Elephas maximus indicus: one gene and its partners. The protein of the gene in region 4 binds, or shares a complex with, the protein of the main gene of each other region. Links are inferred from orthologs where the notes say so. Each region holds a gene or a part of one and is shown on either strand. Other genes may lie near its edges.

Region 1 (7,022 bases), on a different chromosome or scaffold from region 4:
AAAGAAGACACACAAAACCAAGAAGCACATGAAAAGATGCTCAGCGTCATTAATCATTATTATTGTTAGCTGTTATCAAGTTGGCTCTGACTCATGATGACCCCATATACAACAGAAGGAAACGTTGCCCGGTCCTGCACCATCTTCACAATCGTTTGTATGCCCAAGTCCATTGTTGAGGCCTTTGTGTATTTTGAGTGCCTTTCAACCTGGAGGGCTCATCTTCCAGCACCATGTTGGACAATATTCTGTTGTGATCCATAGGGTTTTCATTGGCTGATTTTTAGAAATCAATCTCCAGGTCTTTCTTCTTAGTCTGTCTTAATCTGGAAGCTCTGCTGAAACCTGTTCACCATGGGTGACCCTGCTAGTATTTGAAATACCAGTGGCATGGCTTTCAGAATCGTTGTTGCTGGTAGGTGCCATCGAGTCAGCCCTGACTCAACGGAACAAAACATTGCCTGGTCCGCCGCCTTCCTCACCATTGTTGCTATGTTTGAGCCCATTGGTGAAGTATCATAGCAATACCAAAGCCACCACAGTATGACAAACTGAGACAGGTGGTGGCATTAACCATTATTGTTGTGTGCCATCGAGTCGCTTCCGACTAATAGCTACCCTATAGGATACAGTAGATTGCCCCTAGTGTTCCCTAGGCTGTAAACTTTACAGAAGCAGACTGCCAGGTCTTTTCTCCAGCGGAGGCACTGGGTGAGTTCAAACCACCAACTTTTTGCTTAGCGTCTGAGCATTTAATCATTGGGCCACCAAGGCTCCTGGTTGGTACAGGTAATTATTTCTCTTTTCAAGGAGAAGGGAAGGAGACCACTTGCTCCTTCTGCCGGGTGCTCAGGCCCTTCTCCCCTCAGCCAGGCCCCAGAGGAAGAGGTTTAGTGCCTCCTGCCTAAGCCTTTCTGGTGGGAGGCATCTAGATCTGCAAGTTCCAGTCCCCTCTGCCCAAGTCTCTGCGGCCTGGCACAGGGGAATCTTTTATTGAGAAGCCGAGCTCTAAGGGCTTCCTGTGCAGAGTCAAGCAGTCCTTTCAGCCAGAATCCCTGGCCCAGGGCTGGATGAGAAAAAGCTCACAGGCTGTTCCTGAGGCTCAGCTGGCCAGGAGAGGTGTGGGCCTTGAAGGGGGGTACCTATTGCTCCGTTTGCAAACCTGACGGCATGTGGCCAGAGGCTAGAGCCCTGCATGGCCACCCAGCCGGGACTCTCCTGGGACTGAGGCTGCAGTCACGCTCACAAGCGTATGAAACTACACAGGAGATCACCTGGGAGCAGAAATTAACTATTCAAATAGACATCTACGTTTACAGGAGTCATTATAGCTAACACCTGCTAAAGCGAGTGGAGCTGTTATTGTTGTCTTTTGCCTCTTAGTCAATTCTAATTTACAGCAACCCTGTGTGTTACAGAGTAGAAGTAATCTTGGCTGTAATCTTTATGGAAGCAGAATGCCAAGCCTTGCTTTGGGTGCTGCTGGGTGGGTTTAAACCACCAACCTTTGGGTTCCAGCTGAGCTCAGTGTGTGCCACCTAGGGACCTTATCATCAGAGGGTCTCTGTTGACTCCACAGCAAGTTTTAAGGAGTCCCAATGGCACAACAGATAAGCACTCAGCTGGTAACAGAAAGGTTGAAGGTTCAAGCCCACGCAGCGGCTCTGCAGGAGAAAGGCCTGACAATCTGCTTCTGTAAAGATTAAAAATTACACTCAAGAAAACCCTATGGGGCAGTTCTACTCTATCACATGGACTTGCTATGGGTTGGAATTGACTCGATGGCACCCAGCAACAATACAACAGGGTCTTGTGGATGGGGTTGTTGTTGGGTGCGATCGAGCCAATACCGACTCATAGACTCATAGTGACCTTATGTACAACAGTAAGAAACGTTGCCAGCTCCTGCACTATCCTCATAATTGTTATGTTTGAGCCCATTATGGCAGCCACTGTGTCAATCCATCTCATTGAGGGTTTCTCTCTTTTGTGCCACCAAAAAGATATGTCCATAAGGTGATTACGAGCCCAAGAGACAGCAAGGGCCATATGAACCAGAGACTACATCATATTGAGACCAGAAGAACTAGATGGTGCCCAGCTACAACTGATGACTGCCCTGACAGGGAACACAACAGAGAACTCCTGAGGGGGCAGGAGAGCAGTGGGATGCAGACCTCAAATTCTCGTAAAAAGACCATACTTAATGGTCTGATTGAGACTAGAAGGACCCCGGTGGTCATGGCCCCCAAACCTTCTGTTGGCCCAGGGCAGGAACCATTCCCGAAGCCAACTCTTCGGACATGGATTGGACTGGAGAATGGGTTGGAGAGGGATGCTGGTGAGGAGTGAGCTTCTCGGATCAGGTGGACACTTGAGACTATGTTGGGATCTCCTGCCTGGAGGGGAGATGAGGCGGGGGGGTGGGTTAGAAGCTGGCAAAATAGACACGAAGAAAGAGAGTGGAAGGAGAGAGCGGGCTGTCTCATTAGGGGGAGAGTAATTGGGAGTGTGTAGCAAGGTGTATATGGGTTTTTGTGTGAGAGACTGACTTGATTTGTAAACTTTCACTTAAGGCACAACAAATATTATTAAAAAAAGATATGTCCAAGTCCTAACCCTGAGCACCCGTGAATGGGATCTTGTTTAGAAATAAGGTCTTTGGAGATGTCATTAAATGAAAAATATCGAGATTATCCTGGATTTAGGGTGGGCCCTAAATCAAACACAGATACATAGATCGATACCTGCCATCAAGTTGACTCCAACTCATGGTGATCTATGTACAACAGAATGAAATGTTGCCTGGTCCTGTGCCATTCTTACTATTGCCAGTATGTTTGAAGCCATCATTGAGGGTGTTGTGTTAATCCAACTCACCAAGGGTCTCCCTCGCTCTTGCTGGCTTTATACTTCATCAAACATGAGGTCCTTCTGCAGCGATTGATCCCTCCTGGTAGTGTGTCCAAGGCAAGGGAGTTGGGCAAGGTTCTGTTGTGATCCATAGGTTTTTCATTGGCTGATTTTCAAAAGTAGATCGTCTTTCCTCCTAGTCTGTCTTAATCTACAAGCGCTGCTGGTATCTGTCTACCATGGGCAACCGGGCTCGTATTTGAAATACTGGTGGCTTACTTTCAGGATCACAGCAACACACAAGCCACCACAATGTGACACACTAACAGACAGGTGGTGGAAATCCAGGGACAAGTGTTGTAAGAGAAAGGAGAGGGAGAACCTCCAGAAGGAATCAACCTAGCCAATGCCTTGATTTCAGATCTCTGGCCCCAGAACTGCGAAAGAATAAATTTCTGTTTTTAAGCCACCAAGTTTGTGCCCATTTGCTATGGCAGCCCCAGGAAAAGAAAACATGTACCTATTTATCATCTCGCTGACTGGCTCCTAAGCCCCTGGGGGACTGGGAGTTTTGTCCATTTTGTTTAATAAATATTTGTTGCATGCACATGTTTTAAGTGCTTACTATGTGCCAGATACTGTTCTAAGTGCTTTTTCATGGCTTAACTCGATTCATTCTCACCTGACCTTCTAGAGCAAGTACTATCATTATACCAGTTTTGGAGTGGGGTAACTGAGGCTCGGAGAGGTGTGAATGGGGTTCCAACGTACTAAAACACGTGCCCTAAATAAGTATCAACTTTGCTCGTGAGAATTACAAGACTAGCGGTCCCGAAGGGCGACGCAGAGCCGGACTGAACAACCAAGGGGCCTCGAGGTTTAGTCATTGGCAAACGGAAGGCAATACCAGGTTTGCCCACCGCGTGGCGCCCAGGAGACTGGCGAGGGTGTCGGCTTGCGCATGCGTCCTTACCCAAAATGCCGCTTGCACAGGCGCGCCTTGCTTCACGCCCTTTCGCAGCATTCGTCGTAGGACTTTACGGCTTTTCCTGCACGAACACGGCTTCGCCCCGCCCCTCGCGCAAATAGGCTCCGCCCACCTCCGCGGGGAATGGTTGTCCGTTCCCCAACCCCCGCGGTGATTGGCTCGTGTATCTGCCAATCCTCTTTAGCCTAGTGGCGCGCAGTGGGGCTGCTAACAGCACGAGCGGCGGCGGCGGCGGCGGCGGAAGTGGCCGGCGAGCCCGGTCCCCGCCGGCACCATGGTGAGGGGAGGGCGACAGCGTGGTCGTGACGGCGGGGTTTCGCCGGGAGGCGGGGGGACGCGAACGCCAGGGGCCCTCGGGGCGGTGCGGGGAAGAGTGCAGTCCCGGCCTCGAACCCCGCCCCTGGGCCCGTGGCGGGAAACTGAGGCCAGGTTCTCCAGCAGGTCGGTCTCGGGCGATTTAGGGCTAAACGGACGTGCAGTCATCCTATAGCAGCCTGACCGCAGTGCTTTGCATTTCCCTGAGGGGGAAACTGAGGCCCGAGCGGTTGTGAACCCGCCTAGTGCACCGTGAATGCCGCAAAATGGGTTTTCGGGTAGGGAAGGAGCCCCGACCGCATAGAGTGGAAACTGGGGTGCGGGGAGCCAGTGTGAGTTCTCCAGTTAAGCAGGTTCCAAGGATTTCAGGGCTGGAACGTGCCCAGTATGATAGCAGTATCTCTTGTCTTGCCTTCCGTTTTCAGGCTGGAAAATAGACCTAGAGAAGGGATTGCCTTTTCCTGAGTCATACAGCCTGTCGTTTCTGGGTAGATTCGAGCTCAGCGTCGACTAAATGTATTCTCCTGGTTCACAGAATGAAAAATTGAGGCCCAGGGAGAGTGCACGTGTTTTTTGGGGGCTATGGACCCAATAGGCAGGAAAATGGAGGCCCAACGCAGAGGAATTTCAGCAATGGGAGAGGGCCCTCCCGTTTTAGGGAGAGAAGTAGAGGCCCTCGGTGGAGAAGTGACTTCTAGTGTCCACTCTGGGAGACAGGAATTCTGTAATTGGGAGCCACCCGAGGTGTCACTCCACATTTCTCAGAGCTAAGGGCTGTGGTGAGCTCGCCCTAAATCCTGCTGGCTGGTGTAGAGACCAAGAGAAGGGAACAGGCATCTCTGCTGGACAGAAACAGAGATGGCACAAGGGCTTGGGCAAAACCAGAAAGACCTATCAAAAATTAAGTTCCGTGAGGCAGGATATTTGTTCCAATCCCTGATGGGCCCCCTAGAGACTAGAGTCAAAACCAAAGCTTACCTTGCAGTTGTTTCCAGCTTATGGTGACACCACGTGTTACAGAAGAGAACTGTGCTCCATAAGGTTTCTTGGCTGTAATATTATGGAAGGGGATCTCCAGGCCTTTCAGAGAACTGCTAGGTGGGTTCTAACCGCCGACCTTTAAATTAGCAGTTAAGCACAAACCGCTTGTACCACCCAGGACCTGGAGCCTAGAACGGGCCTTTGCAAAGCGTGGACTCCATGCTGTTCCCACTTTTGAGACATGGACTCTTTGAGCCCTGACCCTCCAGGCATTTCCTAGCTCAGAGAGTGGATGCATTGAGATGCATTCAGCCTGTGGTCAGGGACAGGCTGGAGGGAGGGTCCTGGATGAGAAACCATTGGAACTCTTCCTCAGTGGGTCTAGACTTGAACTCCAGGTCCCAGACATCTGAGAAAGGAATGATTTTTCCTCAAAATTTTGTGATTTTCCTGCCTCATGGTGGCCCTGTCTCCCCTGAACCAGCCTTCTCCTGTCTTACTCAGCACTTTCACGCATCTTCCTCTTTCCCACGAAGTTTCAAGTCCTTGAGGACCCGGCCCGTTTATCTTGCTTTTCTCTCCAGCACAGTTTGGGGACAAGAATGCAGAAGGAGGCAAGACAGGACCACTGCCCACAGAGAGCTGCCTTGGCTGGAGGTCAGCAACCCCAATCCTGGCGCCTCCACTTCCCAAATGTAGTTATCATGTGCTGTTGTTGAGTTGACCCAAAGTCACGGCAGCCTTATGTACAACACAGTGAAACATTGCCTAGTCCTGCATCCATCTCACAATCACCAGCATGTTTGAGTCCATCCTTGTGGCAATTATATCAGTCCATCTCACCGAGGGTCCCCCACACCCTAATTGGCTCTGTACTTCACCAAACATGATGTCCTCCTCCCGCAATTGATCTCTCCTGAGAACATAGCCAAAGCAAGCAAGTTGGACGGTATTGTGTTATGACTTGTAGGGTTTCCATTGCCTGATTTTCAGAAGTAGATTGTCAGGTCTTTCTTCCTAGCTGGCTTAGTCTGGAAGCTCCTCTGTAACCTGTCCGCCGTGGGTGACCCTGCTGGTGTTTGAAATGCTGGTGGCATAGCTTCCGGCTTTGCAGCAACATGCAGGCCACCACAGTAGGACAAACTGACAGACGGGTGGTAGTCTCCCCATCTAAGTCCCTGCTTTTCCTTCTATGGGAGGGGACAAGAATATCCCGATGCATCTTGTGTGCTTACTTGAGGAATGTGCGTCGTTTATTTTTTCAGTGAATGTTTACCTTGCCCGTCTCCTGTGCCTGGCACTGAGCTCAGCAAAGCCCACGCCCTCTGAGCTCTCCAGTCTAGCAGAGACCTGGCATTTCCAGTCTAGCCAGGGAGGCAGTTGATAAACAAACAAGCTAATTAGAGACTGCGTAAGTCTCTAGATGGTGACAAACAGCGGTATGTGAAGTGGAAACCTCAGGTCCTGAATGAGGTTATTAGGAATGTGTGCGCCGACACTGTGGGCAGATCAGGGGAGGGGGCAGGGCAGGTGGCCTGGGCAGGAGTGGGGAGCAGGAGGCTGAGTAGCTGGAGCTGGGCGGGCCTGGCTTGGGAAGCACCGGGGAGCCTACTGGAGGGTGGTGAGCAGGGTGCGGCTGACCCCATTTGTGTCCCAGACATTCCTTCCACCTGCTTGGTAGGGAGGGGACTGTCTTCCCTGGCTGCGCTGGGCCACGTGATGCCCTGAGGGTGGCCGTCACGGGTGTGGGGGTCCCGCGAATGCCATAGGAGGATGTCCAAATTGTATGGCCACAGCAGACATTAGCCTCCCTCAGCTTTCCCCGGGGCCTGGCTGTGTCCCTAGCAGGTCCCTCTTCTGGGTGCCAGATGCCCTGTGAAGTGAG
Region 2 (7,118 bases), on a different chromosome or scaffold from region 4:
TGACAAAAGCAACTAGCAAGATGAGAGAGGAACCTTAGGGGGCAGTGAATTTATGTTAATGGGGGAAGAACAACTTAGTAAAGGAGGGTGAGAATGGTTGCACAATGGGAAGAATGTAATCAAAGTCACTGAATTGTACGTGTAGAAACTGCTGAATCACTGTATATTTTACTGTGTATAGTCTCAACAACAACGAATTAAAAAAAAAAAGGACAGGAAAGAAAGAAAAGACAAAAACATGTCAGAAGAGACTCTGAAACTTGCTCTTGAACACAGAGTAGCTGAAGTGAATGGAAAAACTGATGAAGTAAAAGAGCCGAACAGAATTCTTTCTAAGGGCAACCAGAGAAGACAAAGTATTATAATGAAATGTGCAAAGATCTGGAGTTAGAAAGCCAAAAGGGAAGAATACACTCAGCATTTCTTAAGCTAAAAGAACTGAAGAAAAAATTCAAGGCTCAAGTTGTAATACTGAAGGACTCTATGGCAAAATACTAAATGATGCAGGAAGCATCAAAAGAAGATGTAAAGAATACACAGAGTCACTGTACCAAAAGGAACTGGCTGACATTCAACCATTTTGGGAGGTAGCATATGATCAAGGACTGGTAGTACTGAAAGAAGTCTAAGCTGCACTGAAGGCGCTGGCAAAAAACGAGGCTCCAGGAATTGACAGAATACCAACTGAGATGTTTCCACGAACATATGCAGCACTGCAAGTGCTCACTTGTCTATGCCAAGAAATCTGGAATACAGATACCTGTCCAACCAACCGGAAGAGATCCATATTTATGTTTATTCCAATGAAAGGTGAACCAACAGAATGTGGAAATTATCAAACAATATCATTATCACACGCAAGTAAAATTTTGCTCAAGATCATTCAAAAGTGGTTGCAGCAGTACATCAACAAGGAACTGCCAGAAATTCCAGCCAGATTCAGAAGAGGACATGGAACAAGTGACATCTTTGTTGATGTCAGACGGATTTGAGTTGAAAGCAGAGAATACCAGAAAGATGTTTACCTGTGTTTTACTAGCTATGCAAAGACGTTCAACTGTGTGGATTATAACAAATTATGGGTAACTCTGTGAAGAATGGGAATTCCAAAACACTCCATTGCACTTATGCAGATACTTGTACATAGACAAAGAGGGAGTCATTTGAACAGAACAAGGGGATACTGAGTGGTTTAAAATCAGGAAAGGTGTACATCAGGGTTGTATCCTTTCACCATACTACTGAGCAAATAAGCCAAGAAGCTGGACTGTATAAAGAAGAACACAGCATCAGGATTGGAGGAAGACTCATTAACAGCCTACAATATGCAGATAACACAACCTTGCTTGCTAAAAGCCAAGAGGACTTGAAGCACTTACTGACTGTCCTAGTTATCTAGTATTGCTCTAACAGAAATACCACAAGTGGATGGTTTTAACAAACAGTTTATCCTCTCACAGTCTAGTAGACTAGAAATCCAAATTCAGGGTGCCAGCTCCAGGGGAAGGCCTTTTCTCTCTGCTGGGTCTGGAGGAAGGTCCTTGTCATTAAGGTTCACTTGGTCGAGGAACTTCTCCACCCAGGAACCCTGGGTCCAAAGGATGCACTCTGCTCCCGGTGTTGCTTTCTTGGTGGTATGACCTCCCCATGTCTCTCTGCTCACTTCTCTCTTTTATATCCCAAAAAAGATTGACTTAAGACACAACCTAACCTCATAGAATGAGTCCTGCCTCGTTAACATAACTGCTGATAATCCACCTCATCAACATCATTGAGGAAGGATTTATGATACATAGGAAAATCATATCAGATGACAAAATGCTAGACAATCACACGATACTGGGAATCATGGACTAGCAAAGTTAACAGATATTTTGGGGGGACACAATTCAATCCATGACACTGATGAAGATCAAAGACTACAGCCTCCACTATGAATTACACCTCAGCATAAAGAAAACAAAAATCCCCACAGCTGGACCAATAAATAACATTCTGATAAATGGAGAAAAAATTGAAGTTGTCAAGGATTTCATTTTACTTGGATCCACAATCAATGCCCATGGAAGCAGCAGTCAAGAAATCAAATGACATACTGCATTGGGCAAATCTGCTGCAAAAGACCTCTGTAAAGTGTTAAAAAGCAAAGCTGCCACCTTGAAGACTAAGGTGTGCCTGACCCAAGCCATGGCGTGTTCACTGGCCTCATTTGCATGCAAAAGCTGGACAATGAATAACAAAGATTGAAGAAGAACTGACACATTTGAATTGTGGTGCTGGCGAAGAATACAATATACTATGGACTGCCAGAAGAATGAACATGTCTGTCTTGGAAGTACAGCCAGAATGTCCTTGGCAGCAAAGATGGCAAGACTTCATCTCCCATACTTTGGACATATTATCAGGAGAGGCCAGTGTCTGTAGAAGGATATCATGCTTGGTAAGTTAAGAGGGTCAGCAAAAAAGAGGAAGACCTTGGATGAGATGCACTGACACAGTCGCTGCAACAATGGGCTCAAACATAGCAAGGATTGTAAGGATGGTGCAGGGCCCAGTAGTGTTTAGTTTTGTTGTACATAGGGTTGCTATGAGTTGGATCCCGCTAGATGGTACCTAACAACAACAACAAAGTGAAAAGGTGAGATACTTGACATTATTGCAAATTCTTAAAATATTTCTTGCATGAATTATCCAGTGTGGATACCATGCATTCAGGGTTCTTCAGGATTTAAAATAAAATTTTATCCTTTTGCCCCCATAAGCGCACTCATACTTTGTGAGACCACATGCCTGTATGTTTAATTATGAAAACACAGATGCTGTATTTCTGCCCGTGGTTGGACTAGCGAAACACTACAACATCCAAGTAATCTTTCCAAGTATACCTAATTCCACTGCACGTTCTGGCACATGGCGGCGCAGGGAATACCCATCATTTTATTAACCTTTCTGCTTTCCGCTCCTGGGAGGTGTTCAGCCCGTTAACACACAATAAAAACCAAAACCATTTCCATCGAGTCCATTCCGACTCATACTGACCCTACAGATGAGAGCAGAACTTCCCCATAGGGTTTCCAAGGAGCAGTTGGTGGATCAGAACTGCTGACCTTTTGGTTAGCAGCCGTAGCTCTTAAACACTGTGCCACCAGAGCTCCATTAACGTACAGGGACTCCACAAAGTCTGTCTCCTCCCTCTCGAGGCCCAGACAGCAGCAGTGCAGGTACCTGGAAATCTCTGGCAGGGAAAACATTTTTAAAACGATAAAATAAGCGACTTTTCAAAAGCTTTCCCAACGCGGAGTGAGAAGTATTTCTGAACGCAGAGGTAGACTTTTTAAAAACAGGTAGAGGATTTTTAAAAGCCCAGTTTCACCGAGTGAGAAGACTTGGGATAAGCAAGGTAACTTAATGGCCCGGGGCTGCACGAGGCATGGGGGTGGGTAGCATGGACTGCTCAGACCGCCCTGCCCTCGAGGGGCCTTCAATCTGACCTCTGCACTGGCCAGCGGCGCCGGGAAGCCAGTGGTGCCCCTGTAGGCTCCCCCGCAGCGGAGAGCCCTGAACAGCTGCCGTATCCCTACAAGGCCTCGGCCACCTCCGACTCCAGGCGACTGTCGCGGCGTCCCTGGTCCGGGCCCCGCCCGGGTCCGGAGCGTTACCTGCAGCAGGTGCAGCTGGGCCACTAGACGCCGAGGCAGGTGGAGGAAGCAGTCGCGAGCGTTGGTGAAGGCCACTGTCACGGCTACCCCGCCTCCCCCCGCACACGCCAGTCGATCACTGCCCCACATCGCCGGCGAGCACCGCTTCCGGGCCGCCCTCCCTAGAGCCGGGGCCGACCTGGGACGGGACAGGCGAGGGCCTCGGTCCCGGAGAAAATCGATTGGCCCTTCCCCCTCTCCGGCAGCGCACCCCACCGCACGCCTGAGGGGGTAGAGACAGGCTAGCCTTCACTCACCCTCCTTGGCTCTCCGCCGCGCCACTAGGGGGCGGCATCTTGTTCACCGTATCTTCTCTCGCAGGAAACGATGGCCGACACTGTCGATGCTCCAGCCAATCCGGTCACGTCTTGACGCATCCCGCTTTCTTATTGGATGAAAGGGAGGTCAGCAAGGCAGATGTTGTCTTCTCTGCGAGTGCCGAAGCTAACAACATGGCGTCGAGTAGTGGGGAGCTTGGGAGCTTATTCGAACATCATATCCAGAAGGCTGTATGCGACACGCGGGCTAAGTATCGGGAGGGACGACGGCCCCGCGCCGTCAAGGTAAAGTAATTTTGTTTTTTTCGCTTTCTTGGTAGCTTTACGTATGTGTGCTCGCTCCGCCTTCCTAAAAGTGTAAATAAAGGCTTGACAAGGCTGTTTGTTGTCACGTCCGTCCCTCATTGGAGTTGAGTGTGAGTAACCGCGAAGCAGGCACCAAAGCTCTCTTTTAGTCAACCACTAAGACGTTAGCTCTGCATAAGCAGGATTTTGTTTTATTCCTTGTATTTTCCGTGCTTCAACAGTGCACGGCACGTGGAAAGCACTTAAATATTCGTCGAGCGAATCTTCCCAGAAACATGAACCGCTTCTACCGATCTAACGTCTGGAAAAATTGTCGACTGAAGGTAGACTGATGTGTGCTTTAGTCCGAGGCCCTCAAACGTAGGGTGAATTATTTATGCAGAACGTGGCAAAGTTTCTGATTCTGTATGTTTTCTGCGAACTGTGCTGAACAGTATGTTTTCAAAGCTGTTTAAAAAAAAATAGGACGTTTGTTCTAGGCTTATTTGTGAAGTATGTTTAATGAATCTGCATTTCTTTTAGGTATATACAATCAATTTAGAATCTCGGTATTTATTAATACAAGGAGTTCCAGCAGTGGGAGCCATGAAGGAATTAGTTGAGCGATTTGCCTTATATGGTACAATTGAACAGTATAATGCTCTAGATGAATACCCAGCAGAAGACTTCACAGAAGTTTATCTTATTAAATTTCTGAATTTACAAAGTGCAAGGTAATATGCAAGTTAAGCCATGTCTTATTTCCTCCATTCCCATTGCTATCACTCTGGCCTCAGATTTCCCTCATTCTTACCTGAACTAATCCTGTATTTCTCATATCATCCTTCCGTCTTCTTAAAGGTTATTGTTGTGGTGGTGTTTGTTAATTGCCACTAAGTCAACTCTGACTCATGGAGACCCCATGTGTGAAGACTAGAACTGTTCCACAGGGTGTTCAAGGCTGTGACCTTTCAGAAGCAGATGGCCAGGCCTGTGCTCTGAAGCATCTCTGGGTGGGTTTGAACCACCAACCTTTTGGCTGGTAGTTGAGTGTTTAACTGTTTGTACCACCCAAGGACAGTTTCTTAAAGGTTAGCCTTACCAAAACACTGCTCCCATCATGTCATTTCCATGCTTAACCATTTTTTACAGTGTAGTATAGTAGGCGAGAAATTGGGTTTGGAGTAGATTTTCCAGTCCCACTGCTTTTATGACTTTGGACCAGTTATTTAACCTCTCTAAGCCTGTTTTCCTCTTCTGTAAAATCCATTTGTAAATCTCTTGAGGTTGGGTCAGGATGAAATCAGACAATTCATATAAAGCGCTTAGCATAGCACCTCCTATTCAGAATGCAGTAACATTAACTATCGACGTTCTTATTGTTATGGCCGTGTGTGGATTGACCCCATCTTATCCAGCTTGCTGTGTAATTCTCTGCTCCAATAAGGCTGAAGTATGAAATGCCTCATCTGTTTTTCATGTTGACCCTTACTCTTGTCACTAATCTGCTCCAAGAATCATTCTTCCCTGGCTAAAACAGTTGATATTTTTTCGGTACTACCAATAGCACTCATACTATGTCACAAAAGCACTTGATTCTATAGGATTATGATTCTTTTAAGGCAGCTCTTTTATGTAATCTCATTTCCCAGCCATCTTGCCAGCACCCCATGGTGTTTTTTAGAGCTTTTGCATCTTCTACAGCACTTAGTGCAGTGAACTTTAGATTAGACATCTGGATTTGCATATTAGCTCCACTGAACCAGCTGTGTGACCTTGCCAAGCTATATAATCTCCCTGTGCCTCTAATTCACCATTGGGTTGTTTTGAGGTGTAAATTCACTTGAAGCACTGGGGACACTGTCTGGCATGTGGTAAACAGTAAGTGTTTCTTATCGTTATCCCTGGACACAGTAGTACTATATTTACAGTACCTATTATTACAATATTTTAAACTACTTTTTAATGTATGAATCTGATTATAGGAACACAATGTGCTAAAGAGGCTAGTTTGGGTATGAACTGATTCTCAAGGGCTATTTAGCTTAACACAGAGAAAAGCCCTATTTCATGGCTACAGATTGTGTACCTCAGGCCAGCCAACTAGATTCTAAATTGGCTAAAGGAAGTCTGGGTATATGTGGATAGCTTAAAATCTGTTAACACTATTGGAAGAGGTGGCAAAAGTCACCAAAAGTATGTACCACAGTCCTGGATCAGTAGGGTTAGTACCACCCACAAGCAGCACATCTTAATTTCCAAACCAGAGGAGGTGTGGGCACATAACAAAAGGTGGACTTTGCTCTTTAGGTCAACCTATTGTATAATAGTTAAGCTTAAATCTTGATTAATAAACCATGCTATCATGTATTTGTTTAGGACAGCAAAGAGAAAAATGGATGAACAGAGTTTCTTTGGTGGATTGCTTCACGTCTGCTACGCTCCAGAATTTGAGACAGTTGAAGAAACTAGAAAAAAGTTACAAGAGAGAAAGGCTTATATAATAAGAACTACTAAAAATAAAGGTATGGAAAGTCTGTTTAACTAAACGCTTCCTATATGTCAGGTACTCTACTAGGTATACCACCATGGAGTTCCCATGGAAGGAGAGGCAAGTAAACAATCACAATATTAAGTAATTGTAAGCCACAGGCTTCTGTGAAGCACTTTACGTAAACCGGGCTGGGAAAGGAGACATGTTGGTTCATGGAAGATTTCCTACAGGATGTGAGAGGTGCCTGCGTTTTGAATAAGTAGTAGACGTTAGCTGGAAGGAGAGAGGAAGAGATGGGAAGGTAGGCTAGACTGCATGTTTAAAAGTAAGACATACCGAATAAATGAATAGGAAAATAAGAAT
Region 3 (7,882 bases), on a different chromosome or scaffold from region 4:
GTCTCACAGCCCACGTCACACCACTTCACCACAGAGTGATGATGCAGTGACCCATGGTTCATAATGACCAGTGGGGCCCCCCTGCACATGCACACCACATGCCCGCCAAACAGCGAAGAGTCTAAGCTTTAATCCTCCTCTCTTCGAAGACCCCTTCACATAGCCTCCCCCGCCCCATCCTCAGCCCCACACTCACCCTTCTTGACCGCATTGACTTCTAAGGGCTTCAGCCCCAACTTTGCCCGGAGTTTACTGAGAACAAGAAACACAGTGTTAGGGACTGCCAGGAAATGGCGCATCAGATGCATTTCTGGACAGACAGAAGATGGAAACGGAATGGGAATGAGTGGTCCTAAGGCTCCCGAAGGAGCCCTGGTGGTACGGTGGTTAAGTGCCTGGCTGCTAACCAAAACGTCAGCAGCTCGAACCCACCAGCCGCTCTGCAGAAGAAAAATGTGGCAGTCTGGTTCCATAAAGATTACAACCTTGGCAACCATATAGAGCAGTTTTACTCTATGAGTTAAAACTGACTCGATGGCAACCGTTTGGTTTTTTCTCTGTCTCCCAAACACAGGATCTGCCTCAGGCAGCCTGGGCACTGGAAAAGGCGCTGGCCTCAAGAGCAGGGAGCATGGCCACTGGGCCTGGCCTGCCCCAACCCATGGAATGCCACCCTTCCTCTTGGGTTTCAGTTTTCTCTTCTGTCACCAAATGGTTTGCCAAGATGATTCATCTGGCCAGTCCAGCTTTCATCAAAACACTTCAATACAGGAAAGCCCCCCTAAGTGGCTGACCTAGAAGCCACTTGTCTCAGAAGGAAAAAGCAGAAATTCCTAGACTTACTTGGTCTCCTCGATGCTGAGTGACGAGGCATCTCCTGAGCTGGTTTTAGAGCTGGCAGCTGGAAAAACAAGAAGCATGGCTCAGGAGCTGAGCAAAGGGCCAGGAAGCCAGCACCCTGGCTCCAACTGAGGGCAGAGAAGAGGGTCCCTCACCAGAACCTGGCCCTGCAGAGACCCCAGGAAACAGCAAAGACCTGGGCCTTCACCCCAGCCTCACGAACAGCAAACCTCAGATACCACAGAGAAGCTAGACACCATCAGATGGAGCTCCCCAACCAGCTGCTACCACGTGCTCATCTCCCTGTATCCCCACCCCACCAACCTGCCTTCTCCCCTTTTACCCCAAAGATTCCCCTCTCCACCTGGGCCCTGGATCCCAGCCCCTCTGGGCTTTCTCCAAGGTCACCAGCCTCCTGATTGCTAAACCCAATGCATTCTTTTCAGCTCTGGTTTTGCTTGTTCTCTTGTGCTACACGTGCGACACTGTTGATTGCTCCCTTCTAAAAACACTCTCGTTCCGAGATCCCATGACACAAGACTCTTCTGGTTTTCCTCTTGCCTTTTTGGCTGCTCTACCTTCTTTTTTTGGACCCTCGTCCTTCACCCACTTCTAAAATATTGCCATTTCTCAGGTTCTCTTTCCTATTTTGGCTTCTCACCCCATGCTCCCTCTCAGGGGGCTTTACCTGCCGCCTAAATACCCATGGGAAACCCTGGTGGCACAGTGGTTGAACTAGGCTTGCTAACCAAAAGGCTGGCAGTTCGAATCCACCAGCCATTCCTTGGAAGCCCTATGGGGCAGTTCTGCTCTGTCCTATAGGGTCACTATGAGTCGGAATCAACTCAACAGCAATGGGTTTGGGTTTTTTTGGTTTAAACACTAATGATTCCCAAGCTGCCCTCTCTGGGCAAGACCCTGGACATCAAACTCAACAGTCTCTAACACAAAATTAATGATCTTCCTCCACAAACCTGCTTCTCCCATGACCTGTCCCATTTCAACAAACGGCAGCATCTCACCGAGGTGCTTAAATCAAAACCAAGGAGTCACCCGCTACTCCTTCACCACCCACATCCTAGCGCTAAGGTCTGCTGATTCCTCCTTCAAAACACCTCTTCATTCTGTTCACATGTCTCTATACCACTGCTGCTGCCTGGGTGCAGGCCTCCATCAGCCCCCAAGTGTCTACAGCACTCCTGATCTCACTGCCCCGAGTCCTGCCTACCCAGCTTCCAGGACAATGATAATTACAAACCGTGAATCCGATCATCTCACTCCCCATCTCATATACGTAGCTTCTAACTGCCCTCAGGACGGAGTTCACATTTCTTAACTTGGTCTACGGACACTTCTTATTCCAACCACTCAGTGCCTATCTTACAGCCTCCCATCTCTACCATAAACGCTACACAATCCGCCAAATACCAGCTTTGCTCCTGCCTCTGCACATGTTGTTCCCACTTCATTCATTCATTCACTCAACACACTAAGGGTCTGTGATATGCCAGGAAACTAAAAAAAACAGATAATCTCTGTGTCTCGTGGAGATGTATAAAGAGAAACAGTGTTTAATTCTAACAACTGCAGGAAGGCTCTTTATCAAGCGCTAGTGATGAGAGTCTGAGGGTGCCTGCTGGGCCTGCACGCACCGGGACCCCGTCCCCACCCCAGAACCCTGGCCCCGCCCCTCCGGAGGCCCCGCCCCTCACCGGCCTCGTATCCGTCGTCACGCTTCTCCCGCTTCACGCGCCGCTCGGAGGGCTCGGCCTGGCTGCGCTCCCGCCCATGCGCGCTCCCGCGGGCCTCAGCCTCGGCCCCGCGCCGTCCGCTCCCGCGCTCGCCCCCGCGTTCCCGGCTCCGCTTCCTTCGTTCGCCGCCGCTGCTGCCACCGCCACCGCTCCGGTGTTTATGTTTCTTGTGTTCCCGATGCCGAGACGGCTGCTCCGTGGCGCCCCCGGTGCTGGTCGCCGCTGTTGTCCCAGCCGCCTCCTTTTCGCCCCGGTGCTTCTTTGACGACCCCATGGTGGCACGTCCACCCCGAGCCCGGCCACCGCCGAGTCTCGACGACGCAAGATGGGAACACTTCCGGGTCGCCCGGCTGCCGCTGTTCTGTTGCCGGAAACCGAGAGCGACTGTTTCCCTCGTTCGCCTTGGAGGCTACCCCAAAGGCTCATGGGAAGGCCGGAAGTGAAGTTTGACTGCGCAGTCGCGGCCGCTTCGGGCGGGGTGGTGGCCTTGGCGCCGGTGGCCCGAGTGCGCATGCGCTCCGCCAGGTTCCCGGACCTGGTTTGGAGACCCGGAACCGTAGACTCCCGGAGCTGCGGGGATTTAGAGGCGTTCTAATCCAACATCCCTAGAACTGTAAACCTTTCCTTGGCCCCCTTCACTTGCACACCCCACGGGGCGCTCATTGCCACTCGATAGGGGTCCTCCTAGTGTACTCCCTCAGGTGTCGGGCGATGCTGCGTGTCCTCCTCCAGAGCCCCCAGCTCCCACAGTCGGCATTGACCCCAAACGCAGCCTCCTGGCGTCCCCTGGGTTGGATTTTTTCAGTGGAGTCTGTGAACGGCTAAGGCGCTCCAAATGAGCCTGTGTCTAAAGTCCCTGAAATTGAGCGCAAAATTTGACATATCTGTGTGTTGTGTGTATAAGCATATATATATATTTTTTTAACTTGAGAAGAGGGGCTGGGACATTTAGGCCTAGTACACACAATCCCTTCTGACACTTTCCATCCAACAGTTGCCTTGCTGGCTTCTGGGTTCTGGTGGCTCCCCTTGTGGCGCATCTCATACAGGTCATGGTGTGTTGTATGCTTCCCTTTCACGGTGATGACCACCACTGGGCTGGGAGTCCTCAAAGGCCAGGGCCTTGTCCGTCCCGTTCACCCTTGAATTCCTAGGATGCAGCATGTGTTAGTATGTATTAGAGACTGAGGGTGGGGGAGTCAGAACTGTTCCCCTTCAAGCTGCCCCACCCCCAAAAGCAGAGACAACCAGATGGGGAGAGGCTAAGCTTGCTGCCTACCCACTTGCCACCTCCTATTTCCAGCCCCCAGCTGCCCTCCCCCCAAAATCCCACATTGCATTTTCCATAAATCCTTTAATTTTTATCTCAAGGACTAGATGCTGGGTCTGGGCTGGGAGTGGAGGGTCTATCAGGATGGCTCTGGTGAGTCTGGGTTCTGTCCTTGGGAGGCTCTGAGAAGTTTGCTCCATTCTCACCCCTATTGACCTATGACTCCTTAAAGACCACACACAGAGGCCGCATCTCCCCATCCCCACCCCACTCCCATGCCCAAGGAGATCTGGGCTCTAGGAGGGGAAAGACTTGTCTCTGACGATGTGAGTTCAAATCCCAGCTCCTCAACTGGAGTGCTGTGTGACTTCCCTTCTTGCGCCTCAGTTTCCTTATTGTAAAGCGGGCCTTATGACTCCTTCTGTACTGGGTTATTGTAAGGAGTAAGGGATGGTATACTTGAGATCACTGGTGGGGCACCAGCCCTGTGATGGGAGCTTGGGGTGTTACACCGCAGATGGCCATGGAGCCCCAGACTGTCTCTGCTGCTTGCCTGTGTCCTTCGGCAAGGCCCTGTCTTTATTAAGAAGTGGGCAGAATAATCCAGGCCCTGCCTTCCTCAGGTGATGTGGAGGACGGGAGGCCTGGGAAGGCCTTGCTGATCCCTGGGGCTAGGCTGAGTCCTCCAGGAGGGAGACTGAGAAGGATGGCACAGGGCAGCACGGACTGAAGCTTAGATTCAGGGCTGATCAATATGGCTGTCCTTGGGGTTCCCCCAGCCTTTCGCAAGATGTCCAGCCCTAGTCCAGGTGGGGCTGGACGTAGGGGTGGGATTCTGTAGGGTTCTGAGCACTCCTGTTGGGCCCCCTCTCCCCCAACTTGGCAGAGCCAGCTCCTTAGCCAGCCAGCCGGCCTCACCTGGATTTCCTGGAGGTGCCCTCTGTGTCTTCTTTTCCGACCTCTGCCAGCAGCTGTTCCTCATCCAGACCCAGTGCTGACAGCACCTGGGAGAAGCGCCGGGTCACAGTGAGCCGGGCATTGGCCTGAAGAAAAGGAAGATGGGTTCCTGTCCTGCACCGGGGCCACCAAGCTCACAATGGAGCTCTGATCGCAGGAGGTCTCAGAGCTTCCAGGCTCTGAGAGGGCCCACTCCCCATCTCGCTTCCCTCCTCATTCAGCTGGGAGATGCTCTGTCCTCAGGGGAGGTCATTTGCTTGCCCAGTTGCTGGCCTCACCTGCATGGCCTACTGGAACAGGTAGGCCCTCACCCGCATGGCCTACTGGAACAGGTAGGCCCTCACCCGCATGGCCTGCTGGAACAGGTAGGCCCTCACCCGCATGGCCTGCTGGAACAGGTAGGCCCTCACCTGCATGGCCTGCTGGAATAGGTAGGCCCTTACCTGCATGGCCTGCTGGAACAGGTAGGGCCGGGCCTGCACCCTATGCTGGATGCCCCGCAGCTCTGCCTGGTACTCAGCAAAGCGCTGTCGCTCCTGGCACCTGCACGGAGACAAGCCTCAGGGCAGCTAATCTGCCCCCAGGCCCTGTGGTCCCGTGGACACAACCCACCCCCTTCTGAGTCTGCTGTCCTCACTAAGGGCTCTGCTTCCCCCTCCCCCACCTTTATAAAGCCACTTCATCCCCATCCCTGGGTTCCTGGTGAGGTCATCAGGGCGGGAATTATTCGCCCCATTTCACCAATGAGAAGGCTGAGGCTCAGGAGGGTTGAGGGACTTGTCCAAGGTTGACCAGCTGGGAAGTGGGGGACTTGCAGGCTGTACAGCCAGGGCCCACGTGGCCTCCCATCCACCCCCAAGGCAGAGGGGTCAGGACAGGGTTCTGACCCCTGGACATCTGTTTGCTCAGCCTCTCTCATCCCGCAGTCCCACATGCCTACACCCTCTCCTGTTGCAGCTCCAGGGAGGAAGCTGTGGTTGTTGGCTGTGTGACTTTGGCCCAGTCACGGCCCTTCTTTGGGCTTTTGGCTCAGTTTTCTTCCTTCTTGTGGGGTTTGGTTCCTGAGTGGCACAAACTTTGTACTTGCGTGCTAACCAAAAGGTTGACAATTTGAAGCAACCCAGCAGCAGTGTAGAAAAAAAGCCTGGCAATCTGCTTCTACAAAGATTACAGCCTAGAAAACCCTATGGGCAGTTCTACTCTGTAACACACAGGGTGGCCATGTGCTACGTAGGGTTTCCTGTCTTCCTAGGCTGTAATCTTAATGGGAGCAGATTGCCAGGCCTTTTCTCCCACAGAGCCACTGGGTGGGTTTGAACTTCCACCCTTTTTGTTAGCAGCTGAGTGCTTAGCCATTGCGCCACCAGAGTTCCTAATGAGAAGTGAGCTCTCTTGGGTTTTCTTGGCTGTAATCTTTATGGAAACGGATCACCAGGCCTTTCTTCTGCAGCCTTCTGGGTGGGTTGGAACAGCCGATCTTTCAGTGAGTAGTTCAGAGCGAGCCGTTTGCACCACCCAGGAACCAAGAACATAAGTTACTGCAAAAATGGGGTTTTCAGAAGAACTAGGTGGTACCCAGTGACAATTGATGACTACCATGACAGGGAGCACAACAGAGAATCCCTGAAGGAGCAGGAGAGCAGTGGGGTGCAGACCCCAAATTGTAGTGAAAAGACCAGACTTAATGGTCTGACCGAGACCAGAGGGATCCTGGAGGTCATGGTCCCCAGACTTTCTGTTAGCCCAAGACAGGAACAAACCCTGTCATGACAAACCCTATCCCCAAGACTTTGGCTCTCTGGGCTTCCACATTTCCTCTCTGGAGGTCCCCATACTCCCCTACCCAGCCCCTGACCCTCCTTGAGACTCTCATTCCCCTGAGGACTTCTCCCATCCCTCTTCCTCCCCCTCTCCACCCAAGAAGCCTGCTGCAGTCCTGGGAGCGGCAGCAGCAGGAGGAGCAGCAGAGGGCTGCTTCAGACAGGGATTGGACTGGACTACAAGACAGAAAGTGATGCTGGTGAGGAGTGGGTTTCTTGGATCCAGGAGACGCATGAGACTATGTGGGCAGCTCCTGTCTGGAGGGGAAATGAGAAGGCAGAGGGGGACAGAAGCTGGCTGAACGGACACGGAAACACAGGGTGGAGGGAAGGAGTGTGCTGTCTCATTAGGGGAAGAGCAACTAGAAGTCTAAAGCAAGTATAGAAGGTTTTGTATGAGAGACTGACGATGTGTAAACTTTCACTAAAAAAAAAAGGGGGGGGGTTTCCCATACAAGAGAGTATGTATAGCAGTTACGGGGTGGGGAGCATGAGCTGGCTACCCATCTCTGTCTTGCCTGTGATGTCATGTGCATTTTTCCTGCTTGGTACTTTGTGCCATTTCTATTAGGAATAAGAAGCAGCTCACCTCTCAGAGCCCCAAATGAGAAAGCAAGCATTGCCGGGGGAGGCCAACCCTGCCCATGTCAGGAACGAAAGGAGGACACATCACCTCCCTATCACGGGGTGAGGGCGGCAGGCCTAGTCCGTGGGGCCTCGCTGTGGCCAAAGCTCTCTCTTGCCTGTCCCTCCTCAGCAGGGTGGGCCTCCGGTGCTGCTCAGAGTTGACGGGCAGGCAGTGCTGAGAGACCAGGTGGGAACTATCTGCTCATGCCTTAACCCGCTCTTGAGTAGAAAATAAATGGGGCATGGTGAAACCCTCTTCTCCTGGCATCTGCCCCTGGATTTCTGAACCTTAGGCTCCCTGCCTTATTAAAAAAAAAAAACCAACCCTGAACTTGAGGCCTGGCAAGGAGGAGACATCTCCCTAATCACTGGCCAAGGATTCCCCTAAAACCCACTTGGCCTCTGGGAGCCTTGGTTTCCTCATCTGTAACATAGTGGCAGTGAGACTGAGCCACAAAGAGCAGATGCTCAGAGGCCAACGGAGTCCTCAATGGTGGCAGGGCAGGAACCTGCTTCTGTCTCAGCAGCACTTGTCCCAGGACCGAAGGAGCGAGGGGCGGAAGGGGCTGCTCTGGCACCAGCTGCACCCAGTAGGTGCTCCATATCAATGCCATCGG
Region 4 (6,838 bases):
AAAGCAAAAACAAGTTGTCATCAGCCAGCTCTGACTCATGGCAGTTCCTTGTGTGTCAGGATAGAAATGTGCTCCGTAGGGTTTTCAGTGGTTGATTTTTTGGAAGTAGATCACCACCAGCTCTTTCTTCCAAGGCACCATCAGGTGGACTCGAACTTCCAACCTTTCAGTTAGCAGCTGAGTGCGTTAACTGTTTGCTCCACTTGGGGACTCCAGCTGTACTACCCAAAACCAAACCCATTGTCGTCAAGTTGATTCCGACTCATAGCAACCCTGTGAGACAGTAGAACTGCCCCATCTGGTTTCCAAGGAACTGCCGGTGAGTTCAGACTGCTGACCAGTTAGCAGCTGAGTCAGCAGGGCCCCAACTTGCACTACAGTGTCTCTTTAATTGGTCAAGATAACGTATGTCAAGCCTGTAGCCCAGGGTAAATGGAGGCAGCCTCTCAGCCTTTTCTGCCTTCTTCCTTCTTACCACAGGACCGCCTGGCCCGGTGTACCATGCATTGCAATGACAAAGCCAGAGACTCAATGGATGCAGGGAATAAGGAACTTGTGGTGAAGCAGCAGCTGGAGAGCTGTGTGACCAAGTGTGTGGATGACCACATGCATCTCATCCCGTCCATGACCAAGAAGATGAAGGAGTCTCTCTCATCCATTGCAAAATAAAAGTCTTTGCTAGTGGCCATTGTGAATGAGGGCAGGATGGGAATTTTGGTTTTTTAAGTGAGGTTTAGGAATGAAGAAATTAAGGATGGCAGCAAGTTTAAGGACTATGTCACCTGGCTCTGTGGATGCTGGTTCTTTTATAGGTTTTAATCCATAGCAAGTAAAGTGGGAAAAACTGGTGCTAAAATTTGGGTTGTAGGTAGCACAGGAGAGTTATTTACAGCCTAAATTATATGTGGCAAGTGCTTATCCTAGCAGCTGTATCAAGCCAGAGCCTCCAACACACCAGATTCTGCTTCTCACATAAGTACCAACAGGCTGGCATGTTCCTCCAGCCTACCTATGACCTGGTGGTGTTTGAAGAGAGTATTTCTGTTTGTTGCCAACCTCCTGTTTACAAGAAGTATCGCCACCCCATTTTCCATAAGCTGTAAAACAGAATCCATAAGATCAGTAATGCAGAAGTGGAAAACAGAGATCTGGGTCTTTGTTTTGCTTAGTTTTGTTTTATATCCAAGAGCCTGATATTGATTAAGATGTCAAGCTGGGAGACAGGGTAGTTGGATGAAAACTTTGAAAGGCTCTTTGGCCATCTGACTGTCAAGATGTGCTTTTCTTGAAATTCTCATATATTGCACCTTTCAGCCTGGGACCGTGCAAAAACGGGAGACCGTGTCACACTGGGTATGGGAAGCAGAACTTCCTTCTCGCTGGCTGCTCTGGTGGCCTCTGAGGCTGTCTGCAGTAGAGTGACAGGACAATCTTGCAATGACACTACTCATTTGAAGGAAAAGGGGTTTTGATTGTGATACATACCAATATCTGGGAATGAATGATGAAAGAGAAACTGTCGGCTGCTTAATTAAGAAAGTTGTGCTGGATTTGGATAAACCTAGTTTTTCATATAACTGAATGAAATGAAGGCCTAAACCCAGCATTACTTACTTCTTGTTGTTTTTGTTGTTGTTAGTTGCCATCGAGTCGGGTCCAACTCATGGTACTTTATGTATAACAAAACTAAGTGTTGCCTGGTCCTGTGCCGTCTTCATGATCATTGGCATGTCTGAGTCCATTATTTCAGCTGTTGTGGCAATCTGTCTCATTTAGGGTTTCCTCGTTTTTGTTGGCGCTCTACCAACATAACGTCGTTTTCGAGTGATTGGTGTTTCCTGATGATGTGTCCAGCTGCCTGCTTAGCCCCCTGAAATAACAGCCCTGTTAAGCCAATACCTGGCAACATGAAAGTCAAGGGAGGAAAAGTAACTCAGGAGCTAGGGAGAGCTGTGGCTCCTTTCGAGCAAAGGAGGGTCAGCCCCCCATTACCAAATACCACTTTCTGCCTGAGGCCTCTGCAGTGCGCAGTGTTCCTGCTTCAGTGACGCCTTACCATTTTGATAAGGCCTTTGTCATCTTTCTACCAATTTATTACTTGAAGTGCTATTGTAGCCTGTCTGCTGTTTCATGGCTGTGATATATTTTCCTAGTGGTTTAATTAGAAAAAATAAATAAGGTTTAATTTTCCCCACACTATTGTGCTTCTTTCTTCATATCCGAACAACAAATGTGTACTTTCTCAGGGTGCTTCTCCTTGTAATGTGTGAAATAAGTTCTTAAGATGTCCAGAAGAGTAGTATTGATTTTGTGTTATGGTTCAGATGCAAGACAACTGTAAATGAGAAAAACTTTGAGGGAAGGTTGGGGCACTATGACTTGAAGCCCATTAATGGAAAAAAAAAAAAAAAAAAAAACTTGGTATCCATGTCAGGTCTCTAGTTTCAACTAAACACTAATGGCAACATGTGGAAAAGGTACACAGCTCTGACCCGTCTAGAGAAAATCCAATGTCTAGGATTGTGAGTACCAAAAGAATACAAAATAACTGATGAGTTTAAGTTCTTACTGTACTTGGTATTTCAGCAGGCGTTCTCGAACATTAGGAATGAATTTAAATTTTGGAGAACCACCCCTGCTTAGAATCAGCAAGGTATTTAAAGCAGAAATGAACTCTACTATTTTGGCCTAAGTCTTTTGTCATCCCCGCTATGTTTTACTCATAAATGTGGATTCTTCTGTTTTGGAGTAGCCTCACAACTGGGAACAAGTCAGGGACCACCTTTTACACTTGTGTGCTTGATGTGGAAAATGGGTACCTCAATACAGAGCTTTGTGTGCCACACCTCACGCTTCATATGTGGGGGCAATGGCACATTAAGCAGGGTTCTATGAATGACTACAAAATAGAGGCAGTGTTCCAAGAATTGCTGGGCCATCAATGGGGAATACATTTCAGGGCTCAAGATACAAATTCTTGGAGACTGAAGCCCTGTCACTCTAGTGGAGAGAGGTCACTAATTCATGCTTACTGCAACCCTGGATTTGACGTGATACTGTGCTGTGGTGATAAATGCCAAGGAAGCATTAGGGATTCGCTCCTCCAGGGGTGGGTGGAGAGAGTGGAGTTTCTGTGATGGAATTCCTGCCTTCCATGCAGGAGGTCCAAGCTCGATTCCAGGACAACGCACCTCATGCACAGCCCCCCAAAAACCAAAACCAACCCAGTGCCCTGGAGTTGATTCCGACTCACAGCGACCCTATAGGACAGCGTAGAACTGTACCACAGAGTTTCCAAGGAGCGCCTGGCGGATTCAAACTGCCGACTTCTTGGTTAGCAGCAGTAACATTTAACCACTATACCACCAGGGTTTCCAACTACCCTTTAATCAGTGGAGGCATGCGTGTTCCTATGATGCCAAACAGGTTTCAGGGGAGCTTCCAGACTAAGATTGGGAAGGAAAGCCTGGTTATCTATGTCCAAAAAAATCAGCCAAGGAAAAAGGTCCAATCTCATTGTGCACAGGTTCACCATCAGGGGACGGCTAGACGGCAGCTAGCCATAACTACTCCAGGGCTGTTTTCATTTGGTATATATATGACGAAGATGAACAGTGCCATCTACCCCGACGGGATTGGCTGGTGTAGCTCAGAAGCCAGACGGGACTATTATCTCAATTTCACAGAAGGGGAAACGGAATTGAGAAAGGCTGTCTAACCAATCCCTTACGACGCAACCGGAAGCTTGAAGCTCAGAGGCGCGTTCAAGCTTCCGGTAAGTATCGCGAGGTGAAATGTGAACGCTGCCATCAGTCCATTGGCTAACAGGATAGATGACGTCAGACGCAAAAGCGCCAGCCGACCGCCGGAGCGTGAGGGAGGGCGCGAGTTCTGTTTCAACGCGGCGCTGAACCTCCCGAGTAGCCACGATGAGCAAGGCTCACCCGCCCGAGTTGAAAAAGTAAGTAAGTGTCAAGGCCCAGCCGCAGTGGCAGCTTCTTTGCGTGCCACAGGTGCCTTAGGCGCCCCCTCCATTTCCCTTAGCGCGTCCCGGCGTGCGTAGGCCGAGTGGTGGGCATGGGCCCCTGCACCGCCCCTCGCTCCGGTCGGAGGCCGCCGGATCCCCGTCAGGGCCCTGCGCTTCGGAGCCCAAGGCCGCACGGACCCTGCGTTTCGGCCTGGTTGCCAGAAGCCGCGAAAAGCACCTGCATGCAGCCCATTTGCCTCCCTTGTCCCCGAGCTCCCGGCCCCACATCTCCACGGCCTTCCTCGTTACTTGAGGACCTCGACGCCAGCCTTTGTGGAACATCGTGAACAGCATCATGTTCTGGATAAGGTGGCTGGAATGGAAGTCTTTATAGGATATGAGGAGTCAAAAGCCACTTTCATCTTAGAGAGTGTGTTTGTGTTGATTGAGCATTTACTTAAAAATCCAATTCCTTTTTCTTGCCTTCTTGTACTTAAACTTTAACGTCTTGTGCTATTATCATCGGAATTATGAGAGAGCATTCATTTTTCTAATCGGGAGAAGGGTTGTTTCCCCCTCCACCCCCGCACCCAGTAAAATCAAACGGAACTTTTAAGTAGGATATTCCTGCTTTATACAGGACCCAGTTTGAAGCCTTAACCTCCTCAAACACTTCTTGAGTGAGCGTAACATGTTCCGTGTCTCCTGAGTACTTCTCTATATTGTTTATACCATGTAGCGCCAGAATTCTGGCTGTAGTAGTTGGATTGCACAAAGGGTTAGCATCCAAGGATCAGTTTTTGTGGGTCAGCCACCTGGTCTGCCTTATGTATAGTTTATTTATTACCAGCCCCTTAAAGAAGTCAGACTTGGGAAAGAATTGATATTTAATAATTTTACATTTAAATATACATTTGCATCAAAGCCAACTTTTTTACGAAATTTCTGTCCATTAATCTTAATTGGAGTTGTTAAAGGCTTAAGTATTAAATCATACTCCCAACATTAACATTAAGAAAAGTGGAAATTATTGTCGAAAAAACGATCATCTAAAATTATTTTATTGATGGGCTGATAAAATTTTGTATCCTCAGGATTTATCAGGACTTGATGAAATGGTAATTATTTTTTTTTAATAAAAGGATCATTCTACTTGTAATTTTAGATTTCTGATTCTTAGTAGATGTTATTTCAGAATTTGAGGATGAAACTAGTTTTGATACCTTGCTCTTCTAATCCCTTGATTTAATGAATTGTGAAATCCTGTCAGATCTGCCTCTAAAATGTCTTTAAATTTTCTTCCTCCTTTATCACAGATACCATCTTCTTTTACAACTTCATACCTTCTTCCTGGTTTAGGATAACTCAGTGGTTCTCAGCTTGGGGAGCGGGGTCTGCTGCTGCCTGCAGCTAACCGGCAGAGGCCAGGACAGCTTCTAACAACAAAGAATTATCTGGCCCCAAATGTCAGTGATGCTGAGTTTGAGATAACCCTGGCTTAACTGAATTCTTCCTCTTACCTCTTAAAAATTACAGCCACAGTGATGGACTCATTTTCTGCAGAATAAAGTCCAGACTCCTTAACACAGCATTCTTAAATCCACCACCAAGGAGATCATCCATTCTTATACCACTGATATTTGAAAACCTAGTTCTCCAATCAAACTGAACCATTTGTGTTTGCTGAGACTTTCTCACTCACCTGTTGTGTGACTTTGGAGAATTTGGTTAACCGTAATAAGCCTAAGTTTCCTATCCATAAAATGGTGGTAATAATAGTATATAACTGGCAGAGTTGTTGCTAGGGTTAAATGAGTTCATGTGTATGTTGTGACTTGTATAATATGTACAATGAAAATATAACCTTATGTATTATACTGTATAAACATTTTTACTGTAAATGTTTACTTACACCTTCTTTTAGGGTTTGTGACATATCTGTGAATTCTCCCATGATATCCTATACATTAAGTTTGAATGAAATTTTATATTTTCTAGCCTGAGAGTAACTGGAAAAGATAAAAATTGATTTGACTGCATGACTTAATAGTCTCATACAGTCCTGCTGAGATGGGATTTTCTTTTTTTAATTCAAATTGTTTAGTTTCAAAATATTTATTTTTGCAATGAGACCAGAAGAACTGGATGGTGCCCAGCTACCATTACTGAGTGTTTTGATCAAAGACTATAGAAGAATCCTGATCAAAAGGGGGAAAATGCAGAACAGAATTTCAAATTCTCATGGAATCCAGACTTTCTGGAGCTTTGAAGCTGGATGAATCCCGAGAACTATTTCCCTGGAATAATCTTTAAACTTTAAACCAAAAATATCTACCTTGAGCATTGGGATCAAATTGACAACAGCAAAAAGGTTAGGTAGGAAGCGTAGGGAACAGTGAGTTTGTTAACGGAGGAACAGTTCGGAAAAGGAGGGTGAAAATGGTTGCACAAGTTGCATGTAATCAGTGTCATTGAATTGTATGTGTAGAAATTGTCGAATTGGTGTATGTTCTGTATATATTTTAAAGAACAAAAAAGTTATTTAGAAGAAAAAATACACATTTGTTTTGCTCAGGTATACTTATGTGGTGAAGAATATCCTGAACACTTAAGCTTGGTATCTTAATATTAAAACGACTGTGGGCTCAAATATAAAATACCTGTTGAGTAATAGTTTGGTTACTCTCTGATGTCCTCACATGGTTTGTTCAGTTTGGGAATTAACCAAAATGTAACCAAATCTGCACTTTCTGTTAATGGCTTTAAAATACAACCACTGAAAATGAGGTCGAAATTGAGCAACAAAAATGTTTTTATAATTCACATCAGTATAAAGGTTTAGTTTAATGTAGATTAATATATTGTAAATAC

The links.
Region 1: SNRPG (region 4) and LSM4 share a complex: the UniProt entries of both Homo sapiens proteins name them as parts of the U4/U6-U5 tri-snRNP complex. The link is inferred for Elephas maximus indicus from reciprocal best matches to the Homo sapiens genes SNRPG and LSM4.
Region 2: SNRPG (region 4) and RBM48 share a complex: the UniProt entries of both Homo sapiens proteins name them as parts of the minor spliceosome. The link is inferred for Elephas maximus indicus from reciprocal best matches to the Homo sapiens genes SNRPG and RBM48.
Region 3: SNRPG (region 4) and SART1 share a complex: the UniProt entries of both Homo sapiens proteins name them as parts of the U4/U6-U5 tri-snRNP complex. The link is inferred for Elephas maximus indicus from reciprocal best matches to the Homo sapiens genes SNRPG and SART1.

The regions. Positions count from the first base shown.
Region 1 is NC_064821.1:38,290,617-38,297,638, reverse strand, and holds the start of LSM4 (U6 snRNA-associated Sm-like protein LSm4), read left to right. Parts: upstream 1-4,016; 5' UTR 4,017-4,115; coding exon 4,116-4,118; intron 4,119-5,134; exon of another isoform or gene 5,135-6,421; intron 6,422-7,022. UniProt on the Homo sapiens protein: Plays a role in pre-mRNA splicing as component of the U4/U6-U5 tri-snRNP complex that is involved in spliceosome assembly, and as component of the precatalytic spliceosome (spliceosome B complex).
Region 2 is NC_064826.1:62,574,221-62,581,338, forward strand, and holds the start of RBM48 (RNA-binding protein 48), read left to right. Parts: upstream 1-4,105; 5' UTR 4,106-4,150; coding exon 4,151-4,261; intron 4,262-4,804; coding exon 4,805-4,995; intron 4,996-6,640; coding exon 6,641-6,786; intron 6,787-7,118. Other genes in the region: peroxisomal ATPase PEX1, read right to left, coding at 3,660-3,788. UniProt on the Homo sapiens protein: As a component of the minor spliceosome, involved in the splicing of U12-type introns in pre-mRNAs.
Region 3 is NC_064825.1:129,096,213-129,104,094, reverse strand, and holds the start of SART1 (U4/U6.U5 tri-snRNP-associated protein 1), read right to left. Parts: upstream 3,003-7,882; 5' UTR 2,866-3,002; coding exon 2,553-2,865; intron 902-2,552; coding exon 844-901; intron 253-843; coding exon 197-252; intron 1-196. UniProt on the Homo sapiens protein: Plays a role in mRNA splicing as a component of the U4/U6-U5 tri-snRNP, one of the building blocks of the spliceosome. May also bind to DNA.
Region 4 is NC_064835.1:65,895,191-65,902,028, forward strand, and holds the start of SNRPG (small nuclear ribonucleoprotein G), read left to right. Parts: upstream 1-3,834; 5' UTR 3,835-3,929; coding exon 3,930-3,961; intron 3,962-6,838. Other genes in the region: protein FAM136A, read left to right, coding at 481-669. UniProt on the Homo sapiens protein: Plays a role in pre-mRNA splicing as a core component of the spliceosomal U1, U2, U4 and U5 small nuclear ribonucleoproteins (snRNPs), the building blocks of the spliceosome.